3 linked regions of the Xenopus tropicalis genome follow. The protein of the gene in region 3 interacts with the protein of the main gene of each other region in a pairwise test. Links are inferred from orthologs where the notes say so. Each region holds a gene or a part of one and is shown on either strand. Other genes may lie near its edges.

Region 1 (4,113 bases), on a different chromosome or scaffold from region 3:
CGTTTCTTGGGGGTCAGTCACTCTTTTTGGGACCCCACCACTCACAGCGAGTGCCCCCCTTCCCATGTCTAACCTAATTATGACCCCCCCATTATTGGAAGGGCCTAAAACCCACCTAAAATACATGTAGCTTTAGGGCCATGATAAATCTCCATTGTCACGGGCAACTAATCTCCCCGCAATGCCATTCCACTGGCTAGAATGTACATCACCGGTGGCGTGATTTGCCGAAGTCGCCAAAGCTTTCTCTTAAGGCAACTTCGGCAAATCACGGTGCCGCGTATGCCATCCAACCGGATTTACATTTACATTCTAGCCAGTGGGATAGCATTGCGGGGAAATTAGTCGCCCGCAACAACACAGATTTGTTGCAGGGCGACTAATCTCCGTGTGTCATGGCCCTTAGGATAAAAACATAGGAAGCTACTTAGTAGTAGCTATTGTCAGGGCTACTAAGCGCCAGAATATACCCTGCCATAGACAATACTAACAGCTGCATTTGCAAAAACACAGAGGCAATTATCAAGCATTGTCTATTTTTGTATTTTTCAGGGCCGCCGCTCCCTATAAGCAGAGTACTCAGTCTGCATAGGGCACCAACTCCCAGGGGGGCACCATCCCAGCTACTCCAAAAAAAAAAACATTTTTCTATATTATAACTTACTTACTATGGGGGCATTGTCTATGGGGGCAATTGGGGGCACTGTGTGTGGGGCCCCCATAGTAGGTGTTTTTTTTTATTTTATTTTTACTTCCGTAATATTTGGGAGAGGGGGCACAAAAGTAAATTTCTGCTTAGGGCACCCATTTGGCCAGCAGCGGCCCCGGTATTTTTGTTTCTTCCCCCTGAGGCAGGGGAAAGAGAGCGCTTTTGCTGGTCTGCCACATATGTTACAGAGAAAATAAAGGTAAAACTGACACATCTTTAATATTCATGTTAATACTTAAAAGAACCCTGGAACTACCCTTCCACCTCCCATAACTCTCCGCCGCCAGCCAGTTGCCCGACAGAAGAGCTAAGGGAGTGACGTCACTCAATGCGCGCTCCCGACTCCTGGGCGCGCCCCACTCGCTCCCGCGGGCTTTCGAGGCGAGGCCGGAAGTGACGCAGGCGGGGAAGCTTCCTGTTATCTCGCCGAAGAGTTGATTTTGTCGGGCGCTGGCTGCTCTAGGTTTTTCCTTCATAGACGCTGAAGGGAGAGCAAAGGAGAAGGAGTCGTGAGTGAGAGAGAGAGGGTGTGTTCTGAGCTACTGAAGCCCTTTCGCGGCCTAGCTTGCTTGGGCCATACGTACAGCCTTCATCTGTATCCGCTTTTGCGCCCGGGCTGCAGGGAGATCCGCTGCCAGCGCAGCCATGCAGGCCATTAAATGTGTGGTCGTGGGAGACGGGTAAGTGACGGGCTTCTATCGCTTATTTTTAATTCGAATGAATGGGGTTAGACGCTGAATCGCAGTGTGTCGCGTCTGGCCTGGGGCTCTGGGGATCTACGCGTTCTTCTGCGGTGGAATTTTCACCTTCCTCGGCTGGAACTGTGGCATGTCAGCCTCATAGCGGCCCAGCTGCTGGGGACTACAAGACCCGCAGAGGATGTCGGATACTGTAGTTCATAACAGCTGGTTGGACTCATTTCGTTCTTCATTGGGTTTCTTAGATAAATCTTTCTGCAGGTCTCTGATTACTAGATATTTATTTGGGGTTTCATTTTTACTGCTGCCCTCCAGCTGTTCCCTGGGTGCTGGGGGCACAATTGGCATAAGGGTCCATGTTTGTAATATATTGTAAATGTGTCAGCAAATTATAGTGCTAATATTATATAAAATGGATAACGTTTGGGCCAAGGTGCCTTCGTCCGCAGTGATGAGTCTTAAATCCTGTAGTGTAAAAAAAATAATAAAAATATATATATATATATATATTAGATGTCCGGTTACTAACTGATACTCATCAATATCCAGCAATCAACCCAGGAGCGAATGGAAAGATACGTCAGGAGGGACTATACAGTTATACGGCCACCCTCCCATTGTTACGATTGGAGCACCAGGAAGTAAAGCGCCGTTTCATCTCCCCTTCACTTCCTCATGTGCTGATGCGCTGTGCCCCCCAGTATATGTATACAGAATATAGAGCAAAACCCTCTCAGTTCATATGGGCTGCTTTACATTCTTGGATTTCAGTGCCCTAAGGCTATAGCTGCAGCATGGAACATGTTCTAGATTGATGCTTCCTGCTGCAAGGGAAGAAGAGTCCTCCTATGCCAGAGGCAGTGTGTGTTCTCCCAGTAATCACCGTTGCTAGAGCCTATTTCCCTTGAAAAATGGTAGGAAAAACACTGTTAGATGCATACGTATGATTATGGTCAATATTATAGACCAGATCGGCTCATGTTCCTCACTCCATGGTTAGATATATTGAAACTTCACTGGGTAATGTACTTTAAATCTTTCCTTTGCTATTTAAGCTGTTATATTTTCTACTTACTATGGTTTCTCTCTTTGTCCTGGGCTTTGATTTAATAGACTGTAAATTTGTCCATTCAAAATGTTATTGTATAGTTCCAGCATCAAGTGGACATGTATGTATAACTTTATTTATAAAGCGCCACAAGGGTACGCAGCGCTGTACAATCTCACAGAATACAAGGGAGGACAAGTGATATAATAAATAAATACAATTAATATATATATATATATATAAGTGCCATGAGACACAGTAGGAAGGAGGTCCCTGCCCCGTAGAGCTTACAATTTAAGTACACAGTAGGAAGGAGGTCCCTGCCCCGACATGTAAACAAGACATTCATTTAGACAATATTCCTTTCTAGTATATGAGGGTATTTTTAAATGTCTTCTCGTCAGTTTAAATGCAGGGTACATGTGCCACAAATGCCTCGGTCACATGAATTGTATTTGGCTGCATCCATAATGCCGCATTATGTGTTTCATAGGGTACCACTAGTGGCAGGCAGGCATGGGATGGTGCCCCCGAGAGCTAGGATAAATAAGGTTATTAGAACAATTGAAAATCAGGACCAGTAATAGGAAACCCAACTTGTGGGGCAGCACTGATGGCATTTCCTAGCACTTTAGTAACTTGCCAATCAGTTCAGCTCTGCTAGTTGGGTATTTTGTATGTTTCCTGATTTTTCAGATCATTTGATAATCTTAAGGTAAATTTTGTATGGTGTTTGTGCAGTGTAACTGTATTGCTGTCAAAAATATTATTTATGTGCCAGTCAATGGAGTGCTGATTGTTCTTACACAGAGGTTGTCCATCTCTTTAGGCAAACTTGGCTAAATTACTACATCTATATGCTAGAGCAGGGATCCCCAACCTTTTATACTAGTGAGCCACATTCAAATGGAAAAAGTGTTGGGGAGCAGCACAACCATGAAAAAAGGTTCCTGGTGGTGCAAATAAGAGCAATAATTGTCTATTTAATAGCCCCTATGTGGACTGGCAGCCTACAGAAGGCTCTGTTTGGCATTATACTTGGTTTTTATGCAACCAAAACTTGCCCCAAGCCAGAAATTCAGAAATGAGCACCAGCTTTGAGGCCACTGGGAGCAACATCCAAGGGGTTGGTGAGCAACATGTTGCTATGAGCCATTGGTTGGGGATCACTGTCCTAGAGTTTCTTTAGCATCATTCCCTTATACTTTTTGGGTGTTACCATGTTGTAGCTATGGTGCCCTCTGTCCTCACTGTTCCCCAGTTCAGTTATTGCTCTCCCAATCACAAATCTTCTTCATTTTCAGTAAACAGCAGCTTAACACCCAGTACCGATTTGCTTATGGCTGCATTGTGTATATTCTCTTTCCTCATTAAGACTATCAATCAGACAATTATTTTTTCCTGTGGACATGGCGACTTGTTCAGCATATTATTAGGCAACTTGGTGGCCAAGCTTAACTTGTGTATCATTTTGTCTAAAAGACGCACAAGAAAAAGGCACACAAAATAGAAAAACAATTGTTTTTTTGTTCGTACAGAGACTAAATGTTTCAGGGTGCCCCAACCCCTCCATCAGTAGTACAGCTCTTATCATTTTCTGTGCTATGTCTTACATGCTAACAGGCTGCAGCTGTATTAAATAGAAAAGATTTTTACCG
Region 2 (4,294 bases), about 93 Mb from region 3:
TTCATGACACTAGCCCTTTTTTGGGGGGGTGGGATTTGTATATGTTCCAACCATGCACCTGATTATGCTCAGGGTCGGACTGGGCCACGGGGCATCTGGGAAAAAAAAAGGTGGACCCCCCAGCGGCCCAGACCAGATCCCTGTCGCCAATCCCCCAGCCGCCAGTGTCCCTCCCCTGACACGTTGAAAGTAAGTTTTGCACTCAGGGGAGGACATGGGGTGGGGGGTTAGGTGGGCACAGTGCAGGGTGTGTGGGACATGGCAAGGGCACCTTCAGGGGTGCAGGGCCCACTGGGGCTACTGCCTCAGTCTGACCCTGATTACGCACAGCGATGTGTAACTGATGTAATTATGGGTGGGTTTTAGGTCTTTTTTAACAGCGAAGGCAGGGGCGGGCCAAGCCGACCGGGCGCCCTAGGCAACCCGGTCGGCCAACTCCGCCCCCCCAACGACGCATGCGCGCCAAAGCACAGGAGGAGGTGCAGGGGGGGGCGGTGAGATTAGATCGGTCATTGCCTCCGCCGCTAATGACAAGCAGCGGAGGCAATGACAAAGTAGCACTAGGGGTAGGCAGAAGAGATGCCTGCCTGGCGCCCCCCAATCGTTGCGCCCTAGGCAGCTGCCTCTTCTGCCTACCCCTAGTTCCGGCCCTGAGCGAAGGTTAATATTAATTAAGTTGTGTATTATGGGAAGCATGGGGGGGGTGGATTCAAACAAAATAGGCAGAGTCCGAAAAAATGTGTGTTTGTGTACGTCTTTTTTCTACCTAACTTACTATGTAATAACAGTGGTCACCACAGTAACAGCCCAGTCTCACTCTAACCATAATTTGCACTGAAATTAGTGTTAACTCCAACTGAAAAAGGCCAAAAACCCATCCAAAATTACCTCAGATAAAGGCAGTTTTGGCCCAAACTGTGCGTGTAGTCAGGGCATATTGGAAGGTTAATTTTTATGAATTACAGGTGCAAACATTGCCTCAGGAGTAACTTCAGCAACATTTGCGTTCCTTAGACTAGTGAATGCCGCTTACTGATTGGTTGCTATGCGTTACTGCGAACGGAGCAAACTTGCAACCTGCTACTGCATTGCCCCTTGTTAGCTAATGAAACTCCACACCCCTGGCATACAAATTCTATTTATTTAGTGCACACTATGCCAATTTGCCCCGGGCTGCACATAAATACCCGAATAAGTAAAACCCACACTGTTCCAATGTTATGACTCCCTGTAAAAGCTAATCACGTCCACTGCTTTTTTTCGTTTTACACCGACCGAATGACTCCGCCACGGCGAGCTGCCAAGCACCAGCAAATCAACAGCAGCAATACACCTGCTGGCGCCCTCCCGCTCTCTCTGCCCAGCGGCGCACCTTGTCATTGGGCAACTCGGCCTGACGCAGGGCGTGTGACGGCTGCGCTTTCGGAACTGGTTTGTCCTGTGGGGCTTGCTGTAGGGAAATGGTGCTCAAGGCATAGAGAGGCTGGCAGCGCTTGGTCTCAGCAGGAAGAGACGCGCAGCACTGGAGGTCAGTACCCGGGGTGCTTCTGGCAGGTGTGTGGGGGAAGTGGGGTGCAGTGTGCGCAATGGGGGACCTGTCACAGCTGCGTTCGTCCATGTGCATGGCAGCGTTTGACAGCCCTCGGCGCCACAGCTGTTACATAAACTTCAACATCTACACATAGCAGCGCCGTGCAGGGCATACTGGGAGTTGTAGTTTAGAAACACGCAGAAGAAGGCTGCATATCCCTGGAGATAGCTGTGTGATTATAGGGTATCTGTGGCCGTGTGTCCGGCTGTCAGGCTTGTGTATGGCTGGCTAATGCCATAGTGAGTGTGACTGATGCGGGGGGGTGCCTGGGAGCTTCTGCAAGTGTAACATATCCATTTCTCTTCTCAAAGCAACAGGCCCAACACTATACTAACACCATTACTGTCTGCTATAGGGCTGGGCTGAAATGTGTTTGCCTTGGGCCCTCTGGTTCATAGGGGGCCCCTTAGGGGAAGACTGGAAATAGATGCAGTGTGTGGGTTGCTTTGGACACATGGCTGGATTTACTGCATTTGTTTGTATCCACATGTAAGTCCTTATTAAGGCCAAGTGGATTAAAGGAGAACTTAAGGCCAAGAAAAGATTTTAGCTGGAAATGCTCTGTTGAATATACTGAACTCACTGTACCTAGAGGTTTAACAATCCTATAATTGTAATGATCTAGGCCTTCAACGTTTTCTCCATCTTGGATTTTGTTAGGCCAGCTTTAAGTGTCAGTGGCATTGCACATGCTCAGTGTGCTCTGGGCTGCTGTTGAGAAGCTAAGCTTAGGGGTGAAACAGAAAATGAGGTTCCTCTGTCATAGAAGCTGATTCTTAAATTGAGGCAGAATGCATTGGTTTCTGATCTGCCGTGTAATTGGAGTCTGAATTAGCCTTGTATTGTGAAATTAATGTTTTATATATAGTATATTGTGAGTGGGTCCCTAAGCTCAGGTTATAGTGTGTCATTTATATTCTATATATACAGGATAGTGTGACATTTATAATCAATATATACAGGATAGTGTGACATTTATATTCTATATATACAGGATAGTGAGACATTTATATTCTATATATACAGGATAGTGGGACATTTATATTCTATATATACAGGATAGTGGGACATTTATATTCTATATATACAGGATAGTGGGACATTTATATTCTATATATACAGGATAGTGGGACATTTATATTCTATATATACAGGATAGTGTGACATTTATATTCTATATATACAGGATAGTGTGACATTTATATTCTATATATACAGGATAGTGTGCCATTTATATTCTATATATACAGGATAGTGGGACATTTATATTCTATATATACAGGATAGTGTGAGTGGGTCCCTAATCTCAGGCGATATTGTGGCATTTATATGCTATATACAGGATAGTGTGACATGTAAATGCTATATACAGTATAGTGACATGTATATTCTATATATACAGGATAGTGAGACATTTATATTCTATATATACAGTATATAGTGAGTGGGCCCCTAAGCTCAGGTAAGTGACAGCAGCACAGAGTATGGGCAGGGAATCAGCAGAAAAGAAGATTGGGGGCTATTATAGGTCAGGTGGATCTTGATTACACTGCCAGGGTCCTGGAACTGAATAAGATTAAGCTCCTCCCCCAATAAAAAAAAAAAGAATTGTCAGACCATATAGCCGGGCGCTTGGCTGGCCTTGAGGGCCAGATGAAAGAGCTTTCCAAACAATAATGTAACCTGCTGCTGTTGGAGAACACATTCCCCTGTGATTGCTCTGTAATGTTTTCCTTTTGCATAGTCACAGGGGAATTAGCTAGCGGGATCAGCTGGGGACTGGGCCATTATTCAATTACTGAGAATTTATGCTAAATCCTCGATGTCATGGCCTGTTATCATAGGTGGCTCCCAGGTTAGCACTGTCTGTAGAACTGGGGGTCCTGGGTTCACACTTTAAAAAGGGCCTGAAACGTGTTGTTACTATATAATAAAATGTGTTGTTTATCTTTTGAATTAGCTTTTAGTATGATATAGAGCGTGCTATTCTGAGACCATTTTCCATTGCTCTTCATTTTTTATTATTTGTGGGTTTGGAATTATTTAGCTTTTTGTTTAGAAACTCTCCAGTTTGGAATTTCAGCAGCTATCTGGTTGCTATACCAGATTATTATTACCCTAGCAACCAGGCAGTGGTTTCAATGAGAGACTAGAATATGAATAGAAGAGGGTTTAAATAGAAACATAAGTAATAAAAAATTACCGTAACAATAAAATTGTAGCCTCATATAGTAGTTTATGGGCTGCTAGGGACCCTATTTTAGGGTGAGGACACACGGAGCTACTAGTAGCAGCTACTTGTTGTGGCTACAGAAGCAGACAATTCTGATCATTTACAGATAACTGTCTGTGTGTTTTAGCAGAGGCAATTCTAAGTATTGTCTATGGCAGGGGATTTTCTGGCGTCAAGTAGTTGCTTCTAATAGAAGAAGATGGTCCAAATAATTCAAAACCTATAAAAATGAAAAGTTGCTAAGGATTGTCCATTCTATAACGTAATAAAAGTTAAACTTAAAGGTGAACCGCCCCTTTAATACTGGTCTATGATATATATTGGCTACACAGTTTTAAAAATCAGCTGGGTGGAATGATGGAATCTGGCAGCCGCTTTTTTCTAAACACTAAAAGCTTCTTTTTGTTGTCCTTTAGAATAAACAAAATTATACTTTTACCCTAGTATGAATTGAAACCACAGTTAGTATT
Region 3 (3,652 bases):
TACAGAGAGACCCAAACAGCCGCACATAGGCCCAATATATAGTGACTGTCTATGGCATATTACAACAGCCCCTCTGGCATTTTCAAGAATCCACAGATTGCCAGTGCAGGCCTGTCTCTGCTCCAATGGAAATCAATCTTACATGTGCGTTAGACACCTCTTTGACCATCTCCACAGTCAGAGAGAGAAGAAGAGTTTAGAAAAGAGAAGGGGGCGGAGCATCATGTGGCTAGGAAGTAGTTAAGAGTGCTAAAACTGAGCTGTTTGTGATGCAGAATCTGCATGAGAATGAGTGCAGGAAAAGAGGTTTGCTATTTTGGGGGACTGTATAGTCATTTTAGAGAATTAAAAAAAAAAAAGGTTGCCTTTTTAACAAAAAATAAATTCATACAGTAGCTTCCTACTTTACGGCAACAGCTGGAGGAATATGACAATATTCTATCTGCGTTTTGTAGGCCTATAAAAAGCAGGCAGAAAGAAGTGGAGCCAATGCTTAATAGGACTTCGACCTTACAGTCTGAGTCAGTGGTGTGGACAATGCAGGGGCCAATTAAATAAAATACCTTTTAACGTATTCAAGCTTTAATGTGGGGGTCACACAAGGTAGACCCGTGGGCCAACAACTGGACAGCACTGATCCAGAGGAAGGTAAAAAAAATCCTTATTGGGCAGAGAGTACATTCCCCTTTTCGCTCCGTAACTGTATTCGGGGGGCGCAGATCCCTGTGCTCCTTACAGAGTGCAGAGACCCATGGAAATTCATTTTTGCTCCCTGCTTATATTCATTACGTTTGTGCTTGTTAATTTCTGTTTATACATAATGCACAAACTTGCAGTTTATTGCACATACTATTTGCAGTCCCATCAGATATATATACGCTTGAATAGTGATGTCAGAGACCCATCACTGACACTACTTTGATGCCCCTTTTACAAATAGTTATTGTCCAACATGTCCTCTGTATATTGTATAGAATAAATTACCCTCACTCTGTGTTATAAACATATTGTCACATTTCTTCAACAAACACAGCTTACATCTTTGTAGGCATATAATCCCATGCATCACTAAAAAAACAAAACATTTCTTTTATTGTACTAAACATGCTTACAGGTTCAGGCTTTGCTTCAGATTTTTGTATGGGAACAGGCTTCATACTGGGAACCATTGGTGGCGGCCTTTGTGGCACCAGAGCTGGCTCTGTGGCTGGGACATTCTTCTGTGTTGAATTCAAAGAAACAGACTTTGGTTTTTCTTTCAAGCTACTGTTTTGCGGACGTACACCAGTTTGGCCCACTTGTTGTTTTTCTGAAACATATTGAAAAACCTGATGTAAATGAACATGTAGCGTTTTACAAAAACTCTTGTTTTAAAATGAATAACTAATGAATGGATGAAGAGCATACAATTATAAAATGAATTCCATAAAGTAATAACACAAAATACAGTATTTAATACAGCAACAGATTTTCACCTTTTTAAAGCAAATATTCTCTTTCCCTTCCTTCTTACTATGTAAGCTTAAAAGATTTAAACAAATTACATTATAGTGATTTATTGGCTCTCAGCAGCAAATATTTCCCATTGCTCTATAACTTCAGCAATTGGTTTCAGGTTCAAAAAGCAAAACGTTATGTTCTCCTTTATTACCTGGGGAAACACAGCTGCACACCCAGGCTCCTACACAATTTGAATCCAGGGCACAGCCCAGTGAGATCGCACCCCACCAACTTATAGTAAAGGCTAAATTAGGACTGGCAGAAGAGGATACAATGATGCTGGGATATCCTCTGCAGAGACGTGTGCATAATGAGTGAATTTACTGGCTCGCTTAGTATGCACATGTGAAGGAAGATCAGGGGATTCATCCCTTAATCCTATGACACATAATTAATGTACATAGTGAGAAATCTGGGACAGTTGTCATTATACGCATGCTTAGAATCCCAACATGGCTGCCCAAGCCAGGAGCTCCTCCCTGTGCAGGGGGCATTGCACTCAATAGGAGCATTTTCTGGCCCAAGTATTGTTTCCCAAGTACTGCTTCCCACAGTATTATTAGCCCGCACCTCTAGTGGGGGAAACAATTTCACTATAATAGGTGCCTTTTAACATAGTTTATAACTGTTCTCACCTTTGCTGTTATCCATTAGCCATCGTATAGCTTCTTCTGCCTCCTGGGTTGTAGTTGCCTTAATCTGTTTCACATTATACGGTTTGCTGATGCCAGACATTCCTGAAGACTATATCAGAAATAATCCAACAATTACTATAAATCATATAAATTATTTTGAACTCAGTCACTATGAGTAAAGATGTAGCAGTGTATATCAGCGCATTAGTACCCATACCCCTAACACCTTCAGCATGCCATGCAATAGGGGTCATTTACAATGGACCTTGCAGTGTACATAGCCCTCCAATCAAGTGCTGCCTGTGTTATGCAGCGCTCAATCCAAGAAGTGTGGGGGGAGGCAGGTAGGGTTTCTCCACCAGCCCCCTAACGTGTGTGTTATTCAGATGGACAAGTTAAGGAGCATCAGGAGGAGCAAGCCTGCTTTGAAGCCCCGTCAAACCTGCCCTGCCAACCTGACAAATCCAGCGTGAAGGGCGAAGCCCTACTTTTCCCTGGACGTGAGTGCTTCTTAAGTGAGCACCAAGGGCTGCGCCACTGGGGTATGGTAAATGACCCCTTATGTATGCTAGGTGACAGCTTGAGCACAGTGGCGTAACTAACCATACAAAGTACCACATTGATTGAGGGGAGGGACACATAATTCACACCACATTAAACACTTAACCATCTGAAAGAATGGCATTTCCATGTCAGTCCAGTCACAAATAAATGTTGCAGATGTAGCTATTCTATCTACAATATTTTGTGGCTAGAATCTAATAGTACAGGTATGGGATCCTTTATCCGGAAACCCGTTATCCAGAAAGCTCCGAATTACGGACAGCCCTTCTCCCATAGACTCCATTTTAATCAAATGATTCATAATTTTAAAAATTGATTTCCTTTTTCTCTGTATCAAAATTTCACTCTGACTGCTGTACGCTTCAGTTTCACTCAGTGATAATTATGCCCCCTTATCCCATTATTTTAGTAGGCAATGGTTGGTGATTTCAGGCAGGCAACAAAATCTCAGCAAATACTTGTAAATTTTGCCGACCCTGCCAGGTTAATTGTGTTATTGCTTGAAAATGTTCACTGTTGCATGTCTGAGCAATGACGTAATTACACTGGCAGAGCAATTACAAGGTACATATGCATATATTTTACAGAGTTCGATGATTTAGTATTACACAAATGTAGGCACACATCCGATTCACAAAAAGAAAAAAATGGCAGATTACAGCTTGTAATGCCAAAAGGCAGCAATACAGAATTGCATCTGCTTTGCCATAGTAAACAAATAAGTCAAGGGTAAAGGTGATGTCACAACAGTTTCCTTACTATTAAAGGTGCAGGAAAGTTACACTCGCTGGGGGTGCCAAAAGAAGCAGGAAGAGGATTGCTCCCAGGTGTAACCCCGGGTCAGTGCAGTTTTCTGCTAACAAGAGCAACGGCCCAGGGTATCCGGTAAGTGAATACAATCACTCAGAGGGGCCTAATTTTTGGCAACCCCCTTCCCCCCCAGTCTTTCTTTA

The links.
Region 1: the proteins of synj2 (region 3) and rac1 interact in a two-hybrid assay, tested with the Homo sapiens proteins (2 studies listed by BioGRID and IntAct). The link is inferred for Xenopus tropicalis from reciprocal best matches to the Homo sapiens genes SYNJ2 and RAC1.
Region 2: the proteins of synj2 (region 3) and itsn2 interact in a two-hybrid assay, tested with the Homo sapiens proteins (2 studies listed by BioGRID and IntAct). The link is inferred for Xenopus tropicalis from reciprocal best matches to the Homo sapiens genes SYNJ2 and ITSN2.

What each region holds. Positions count from the first base shown.
Region 1 is NC_030685.2:25,457,357-25,461,469, forward strand, and holds the start of rac1 (ras-related C3 botulinum toxin substrate 1), read left to right. Parts: upstream 1-1,186; 5' UTR 1,187-1,354; coding exon 1,355-1,389; intron 1,390-4,113. UniProt on the Homo sapiens protein: Plasma membrane-associated small GTPase which cycles between active GTP-bound and inactive GDP-bound states.
Region 2 is NC_030681.2:145,826,386-145,830,679, reverse strand, and holds the start of itsn2 (intersectin-2), read left to right. Parts: upstream 1-1,345; 5' UTR 1,346-1,528; intron 1,529-4,294.
Region 3 is NC_030681.2:52,444,321-52,447,972, forward strand, and holds part of synj2 (synaptojanin-2), read right to left. Parts: intron 2,245-3,652; coding exon 2,136-2,244; intron 1,310-2,135; coding exon 1,113-1,309; intron 1-1,112. UniProt on the Homo sapiens protein: Inositol 5-phosphatase which may be involved in distinct membrane trafficking and signal transduction pathways. May mediate the inhibitory effect of Rac1 on endocytosis.